Linked DNA regions of Rattus norvegicus. The protein of the gene in region 2 purifies or fractionates together with the protein of the main gene of each other region. This does not show direct contact. Links are inferred from orthologs where the notes say so. Each region holds a gene or a part of one and is shown on either strand. Other genes may lie near its edges. The genes, in order: Nploc4 and Ubxn6.

The links.
Region 1: the proteins of Ubxn6 (region 2) and Nploc4 purify together in Homo sapiens (affinity purification with western blotting; 3 studies listed by BioGRID and IntAct, with this or other methods). This does not show direct contact. The link is inferred for Rattus norvegicus from reciprocal best matches to the Homo sapiens genes UBXN6 and NPLOC4.

What each region holds. Positions count from the first base shown.
Region 1 is NC_086028.1:106,198,205-106,202,016, forward strand, and holds part of Nploc4 (nuclear protein localization protein 4 homolog), read right to left. Parts: intron 659-3,812; coding exon 546-658; intron 1-545. UniProt on the Homo sapiens protein: The ternary complex containing UFD1, VCP and NPLOC4 binds ubiquitinated proteins and is necessary for the export of misfolded proteins from the ER to the cytoplasm, where they are degraded by the proteasome.
Region 2 is NC_086027.1:990,174-994,484, forward strand, and holds the start of Ubxn6 (UBX domain-containing protein 6), read right to left. Parts: upstream 2,877-4,311; coding exon 2,794-2,876; intron 1,576-2,793; coding exon 1,412-1,575; intron 1,137-1,411; coding exon 1,072-1,136; intron 909-1,071; coding exon 780-908; intron 496-779; coding exon of another isoform or gene 457-495; coding exon 359-456; intron 199-358; coding exon 123-198; intron 1-122. UniProt on the Homo sapiens protein: May negatively regulate the ATPase activity of VCP, an ATP-driven segregase that associates with different cofactors to control a wide variety of cellular processes.

The DNA.
Region 1 (3,812 bases), on a different chromosome or scaffold from region 2:
AGGTACCCAGTTTATAGAAGGGTGAACAAGCTGCTCTATAAAAAGCCACAGAGCAAACATTTTCAACTCTGCAGGCTTCATCCTTGTTGCGACCACACTCCTCTGCACTCACAAAGAGCTGCATGACCCAGGACACCATGACCACAGGCAGGAGTGAGGGGCCTTTGTCAAAGTCCCACTGGCATGCAAGTGAGAACGGCCACCGTAGCTCACCTATCTTCTTAGTAAGCAGGGCTGTCATGATGGCATCTCTTTCCCAAACAGCTGTGCTCTATGTCCCCTCCTCCAGACAAGACGTTGGCCCTACTGCAGATATGGACCCAAGACTATAACCAGAATTCCACAGTCAAACCTGCTCAGTAGTAACTGCTGGCCTCGCATGACTGTTGTACACCAGCCATGGGACACAATCCCCTGTATGTGAGCAGTGAACAGAGCCACAGAAATAGTATCCAGAGGTAAAAGAAAGTCCAGACAGCCTCAGTCAGTCAGGGCACTCCATCCACCTCCTCCTCCTGCCTGTCTCCCACCAGCTGGACACTTACTTGATTTTTAGCAAATGCAGGGATTTGCTGGACGATGCTGTTATCTCTCCAGTCTTGTTTCTATTGATGTAAACCGAGAAGCCGTTGTTTTGGAAGCCAAACTCCTTTGCAACCTACAAGCCCCAAACAACAGAAATGTAATGAAACATCCAAGTATCAAATGCCAGAAGGTGCCAAGACCACAGGAAGAACAATTAGTAATGTTAGACAGTGCTCATCAGAGTATGCATCCCTTGTCGTTTCACTCAGGAAAAACTGTATTGATCACACCAGTGACAATTCAGTAAGTGGTCCACAAGAAGCCAAAGATCCTGTATAAATAATAAAAAAAGGTGGAACCAGCCAGAGTCAAGGCCACTGTGTAAGTTAATTGCTACTTTTGAAACAATACTGAAAACCCAATTCCCATCATAAACCTACCAGTAGAGAGAAAATGGAGTGCAGAATGATGCTACCAGTGGAAAAGCCAGCTGCAGCAAGTAAGAGTCTCAACCGCTAGTGCCTGCTGCCAAGCCTTATGACCAAAATCTGATACTGGACCCATAGTAGGACAAGAGAATTGACTCTTGCAAGTTGTTCTCTGACCGCCACATGTATACCACGGCATGAACCATCCACCCCAATACATAAATAAGTGTAAAAGATTTTTAAAACGAAAAGTCAGCTGGGCACAGTGGCACACTCCTGTGATTCCAGCGCTGGGAAGATGCAAACGGAGTATAGAGTTCAAGGCTAGTCTCAGCTACCCAGCAAGACTGGACTAAATGCATGAGACCCTGACAACCTGACACAAAACAATGAAAGGGAGAGGGGTTGGGGATTTGGCTCAGTGGTAGAGCCTTTACCTAGGAAGCGCAAGGTCCTGAGTTCGGTCCCCAGCCCTGGGGGGGGGGGGGGGGGGGAATGAAAGGGAGAAAGGAAGGAAAAACAGATAAGCAGGAAGGGAGGTAGATCATCAAATCACGTGTGCTATGGGACCTATTAATCATTTAACTCAACAGATATTAAGTACTCCATGTGGGACTCTGGAGGTTCTGGGCTCTGAAAACCCATCAATGAGACCTTGAAATGAATAGTCTCAAATGAACCAATCACTAAGATTCCATAAGTTGCTGTCATCTTCTTTTCTGGCTAGGGTAGAGATGGCAGTGGCACAGATCTCGAATGGCTCTGGCTAGCTTCAAACTCAGAATGCAGCTAAAGCTGGCCTTGAACTCCTGATCCTACTACCTGCACCTCCCAAGTGCTGGTCTGTGAGTTGTTTTCAACATAAACCATCTCACCAGTGACACATGCCAACATTATTTTCAGAGCATAAAGCCATATATAAAAAAGGTCGCTTACTTAGCACAGGCCATCTTGCTCAAACAACATTTACAGGGCTCAAGATCTGCTTTCCAAGCAAGTTTATAAGGTAGAAAGAGGCTGTTTTAAAGACCATTTATTGGGATTTTAACCCTACACACACAGTATAGCTCCACTTACAAGAGACATCTGAAATAGTGGAACTCAACACTTAGTGGGAAGAGAAAACGGAATGGTGGTGACCAGGGCTTCAGGGAAGCTGTTGTTTGAAGGAGAACAGATTTCAGACATACATAATGAAAATGTTCTGAAGACATGTTTCACAGCAATGCAATTCTTAATATGGAATGAAAAATGTAGTAGAATGAAATATGTAACAGAAGAGGAAAAAGAACACGTAATACCGTAGATGTAAATCTGCATTTGATAGCAGAGAACCACATCCATAACACACTGTCCAATAAAAAAAAAAGTAAATTAAAAATGGATACATAAGACCATCTTGAATATGGATATACTTGTAAATCACATGGTCTTATAGGCCCAGTGTGTGTGCAAACCGACAATCCACCTAGGCTTGTGTGAACTTGTCACTCCCAATGGCATAACTTGCTATACCCACCAAACAAGCCAATTAATGAGTGATGGAAAAGGGAGAAGTTGGATGCTGAGTTCTGCCAGTTACATGGAGAGAGCAGCCTGGGTGCTGGGAGTCAGTGTCTCTGGACACTGGCAGAGGAGGACCTTTTGGGACAGGACCTGCAGAGACGCTAACTCGGCAGGGTTCAACCCTGTAAACAGAATGCAGTTTGGATCCTATCCCTTTAATTTCACTAAAGTTTTACTTCTTATATATGAGTGAGAATGATGCACAATTAAAATGCCTTCCAGATAATTTTCAAAAAGCACTGAAGCACGAAATAAAACTCTAATGACAAACAGTTTCCCAGGCAGACATGGTAAGGTTTCCCAGGTAAACATGGTGAGGTTTCTTTGGAAATGCCATTGTGTTTGAGATGGGAAGAAATGTAGCAAGAGTATCAGTAAGATTGTCTCTGACATTTGAAATACCTCACCAAAAGCTGCTTCAAGGAATAACACTATGCGGGGGTTGGGGATTTAGCTTAGTGGTAGAGCGCTTGCCTAGCAAGTGCAAGGCCCTGGGTTCGGTCCCCATCTCCGAAAAAAAAGAAAAGGAAAAAAAAAAAAAAAAAAAAAGAATAACACTATGGGCTCAGTGGTTAAGAGCACTGACTGCTCTTCCAGAGGTCCTGAATTCAATTCCCAGAAACCACATGGTGGCTCTGTAATGGGAGCTGATGCCCTCTTCTGGTGTGTCTGAAGACAGATACAGTGTACTAATAAATAAATAAATAATATGTTAAAAAAAAAAAAGAACACTGTGTACTTAGCTATAAAATGCAGCAAAGTGAGTTGGGAATTACATTACTTCCATATTGACAAAGACAAAATAAGAGGGCCACAATTTACTGGCCTAGGATACAAAGTATGAGACAAAAGTTATTCTCCTCAGGGCTGACTCAGCTCTCTCCATTACTCCCTGTACAGACAGAGTCATAAACACGTGGCTTTAATTTCTCTAAAAAAGAACTAGGGGGCTGGAGAGATGGCTCAGTGGTTAAGAGCCCTGACTGTTCTTCCAGAGGTCCTGAGTTCAAATCCCAGCAACCACATGGTGGCTTACAACCATCTGTAATTGGATCCAATGCCCTCTTCTGGTGTGTCTGAAGACAGCTATAGTGTACTTATAAATAATAAATAAATAAATCTAAAAAAAAAAAAAAAAAAAAAAAAAGAACTAGGGAGGGGTAGCCTGAAGAAATGACTTAGTGGCTAAGAGCAAAGGCTGCTCTTCTAAAGGACCAAGGTTCAATTCCAAACTTATGTAGCAGTTCATAACAGTCTATAACACAATTCCAAGGGGATCTGACCCCTCTTCTG
Region 2 (4,311 bases):
CAGGTTGGACTACATAGTGAGACCTGGTCTCAACAACAACCAAAGTAAACCACAAAAATCCAAGCAACACTGCATTACACCCACCCCATGCCCAGTGACCCGAGGACAGCCATTGCAGCTACCTGGAACACCTTGTTCTGCAGTTTGATTTTCTGGTACTTTTCTTCCTCTGGATGCAAATGGATATTGTCCAGGTACCTGGGAGGGAGAAGGGAGAGAGTAACCCAGGGGACCTTACTTCACTGTTTTTACACTCAGATCCTCACATAGCCAGGCTGAGCCTGGTGCACAAAGCACACGGAGCCTACACCATAGCCGCCTCAGTGCTCAGATCTCTTGGGTAAACAGGCTCACTCACTTGGCGATGGTATCCACACCCAGCTTCACTCGATCCCGGTCTCTATTGAATGTATGTATCTTCATGATGGAGGCAGCCACAGGGTCTGTGGAAAAGTGCTGGGGGAGAAGAGGCATGCTGAGGACCCCATAAAACTGCTGAGGAATGGGAAGAGAGACAGCAACTGCAGCCATGTCAGAACCATAGCACCTGGCTGAGGTCCCCATGACTGCCAGTCGTTCAACTCCCAGGTGCTGGGTGAAGCTAAGGCCAAGGTAGCCACAACAGACTAACCCCCTGAAACTAAGCTAGCTCCAATTAAATACTTTCTTTTGTAAGAACTGCCTTGACCATGGTTTCTCTTCATTGTAATAGCAGAATAGTGAATAAGACACCAGGCTTGATGGAAATGCGTCCAGTAGCTAGGGCATAGGCCACTTACTGACAGGATGGCCTGCTTGATGTGGGCATCCCGCTGGTCCCTCCTCAGGGTGACACCTGTGAGCGGACAGATGAAGAACACACCAGGCACTGCCAAATGGGGAGAGATTTCATCTTTGGTCTCAGGTACCTGAAGATAGAAGACAAGAGGCTCTTATAGCTGGACATATAGGCCCATAGCTCTCATCCACACTACCACAGGTATGGCTCATATGTATAAAGCTCTCCCTTCCTAGGCTTCAGCTGCTTCCATACTGGCCCAGAACATTGGGCAGTCCCCAGCAGATCCTTACCGAGTTGGTCCCAGGAGCTCCTGGATTGTTGCTGGAGGTGGCTTCGGCCTGAAGTTCCTTTCTCACTGAGTGTAGGAAGGTGTAATATGAACAGAGTAAGGACTCCAGCCATAACCCAGAGGCTCAGCCATACCCATCATCCTCCAAGGAGTGGGGTGTGTGAGGTGTGTCCGAGAGCTAGCAACCCTCCCTGCCAATGCTCCAGGAAGTAAAGTCTAGTCTCTGTCTTCTCCAGGTCTCCAAGCAAGAACCAATGGTGTCTCCTTCCACATGGGACCCACAGCCACCCTCTGTGGACCCTTTTCAGCCTACCCCAGGTTCCACCTAGAGCAGAACTCACCCTGGTTCCGAATGGAGTCCTGAGATGTAGGGCCCCGGGCTCGGGGTTGCTTCTGTTCCAGCCGGGCCAGGGCAGCAGCGGCAGCCATCTGTGCCTCATCAGTGGGGCCCTGACGGGGCTGCCGGAGGGCCAGCTGTGGTGACTTTCCTTTGGAGGTCTTCTCCCTGGACAGACATGGAGACCCAAATATGCAAAAAGGTGTATAGAGGAATTTTAATCAAGAAACATGGTCACTCTGGCAAGGGATCACATCTGATGATATGTAGGAGGAATGCAGACATGCTACAAATCTTTGATCTCTGGCTAGAATACAGACAGGCCCTTAGTATGTATCTTTAATCCCTAACAGTGTAGGTAAGGTTAGTTTGTAGAAGGAAGAAGTCATGTTTGAAAGTAGAATCTAGGGGTTGGGGATTTAGCTCAGCGGTAGAGCGCTTGCCTAGCGAGCGCAAGGCCCTGGGTTCGGTCCCCAGCTCCGAAAAAAAAAAAGAAAAAAAAAGATTAAAGAAAATGCATTTAAAAAAAAAAGTAGAATCTACCTGAGGGGCAGACAAAATGACAAATCAAGAGAAAGATTTGACAGAATGAGTCAGTCTGAGGACAGGAAAGAGAGGACTTAAGAGGCAGCACAGAGAGTGAGTTGAAGCAGTTCAGTCAGTACAGTTTGGAGGTAGGTTGCTGCTAGAGAATGAGAAGGAACCAGAAGATTAGAAGAGATTGCCAGACTTAGTTTGAGCCCAAGCAGAGCAATTCAGTGAGAAGTTGAGAGAAGCCAGATTGAATTAGTCAGCTTGGTAAATTATACTGTGCTAGAAGCCTCCTGGGATAGTTGTTAGAACATGGGAGGAAATGCTCTGGGCTCAGCCCAAGCAGTGTAATCACACAACTCTCATCTCATCACTTCATCTGAGGAAATAAAAGTGAAATTTACTTTTACAGAGGTGCACAGATCATAGACATTGTACCTCCAGACATTATCCCTTCCAGTACCAGCTCCTGGCCTAAGGATCCTTTGAACCTCCATTTTCCTCATCATGGAAGTTGTCCCACTATTTGTAGCTGTACCCAGGACTAGGAGTCTTATGGCCTTAAACAACGCGGCTTGGACACCACCGCCCATCGGGTCCGCCTATCCGTAATGCCCCGCCCACCCGCTCTAGGCCACCCACTGCCCTCCCTTTCTGCCACGCCCACCGCAGCTACAACGCCCCGCCCTCCTCTTAGGCTCCGCCCTCCTGATTTACACTCTTCGGCCCCGCCCATCTCCACATCCCGCCCTCTCATCTGCTCCGGCTCTGTATAGCTTGGAGAGATCCCTGACACCCAGCGGAAGGCCCTGCCTGGCCCTCGCCCTTTTCCGTCGCCCAACCAGCGTCACACACCCTGCGGAGTCCGTAAGCTTCTGGCCGGGCCCCGCGCTTTTGAACTTGATGTCAGCCTTGATCTCCTGGAAGAACTTCTTCATGGCGGCGGCCCGGCGGCGTGGGCCGCGGGGCGGAGGGCGCAGGGCCCGGGTGGGTGAGGAGCAGGCGGCCAACCACCGGAAAGAAAATATCTCGGCGACGGAAGTCCCGCCCGGCACACGTGACAATCGCCTTGCGGCACCTCGCGGGCGGGGCGCCATCTTCCTGTCTGCGGACGCCGTTGCCAGGACGACAGGCTCTCCCTCAGGACCGCGGCAACCGCCGGGGGGGGGGGGGGGGCAAGAGAGCATCCAGACACCGAACAGCCCTGAAGTGTCTCCAGAGCTACTGGAACCTGGGTTGATGTCAGGCTTTCGAGGCTAGCCTGTACTACAGAGAAAATTAATATGGATATGCTGTGCAGGAGCCTGAAATCCGCTCTGGGAGGGACAAGCCAGAAAGGAGCCGACAGAGATTGGTGCAGGCATGGTCAAAGTTGGCCTGGACTACAATACAGTCCCACAGGACCACAGTTGGTACAGAGCTTTCTCAGCATGCACAAAGCTGAGTTTATTCTCCTGCAACACTTCCATCTCATGTGGTGTGTACACTCAACAAAAAGATGGATGCTTTGGACACGGGCATAGTAGAGCACTATTGTTCATGTGAAAAACAGCCATCATCTACATCAGGGCCACTGTGTCTGTGCAAGAGACGCCCCCAAATCATATACTTCACTATTGATGGTCATTCATTAGGAAGGGGCATCGGATGCTCACCTGAGATTCCAGGAGCTCTCTCCATCACCTCCTGCCTCTGTGCATGTAATTCTGCCCTAATTGCACATTGCATTTTGGTCTTGCTGGACTATGGACAAGTTTTCATCTGTGCTGGTGTGAAATTGTCAGGGATGCAGCAGCTTTGGGGGCTACCCAGGCTGTTAGTAATCTTACTATTTTTTCCAACCATTAGACCCAAGATGCACCAAGCTGAAGGACAGAAGCCCTGGTGACTTCCAAGCCCCATAGCTGAAGGGGAGCAGGGGAGGCATTTGATGAGAACTGTGGAAGACTGGTTTCCAAGAGCTACAGTGAGAGGAGTGGAGCACCATAAGGAAGGCAGTCAGGAAGTGCTCAGTAAATGTTTTGGGACATGATGTTTTAGTCCTTTGGGAAAAAAATTGAGCCAGGCATTGGTGGCACATTCCTTTAATCCCATCACTCAGGAGGTAGAGGCAGGCAGAACCTGGTCTATAGATTGAGTTCCAGGACAGCCAGGACTACAAAAAGAAACCTGCCTGGAAAAGGAAGGGAAAGAGAGATTGTAGATATATGGAGTCAGAGTTTGACTATGGAGACCAAGATGGCCTTGAACTCACAGAGATCTACCTATCTGTCTCTACCTCCTGAGTACCGAGATTAGGTGTGCACCACCAAGTTCCCCAATATATATGTCAATGGGGAGGCAGGCAGAGAACAAAGGAGGAGCTTTATTCCC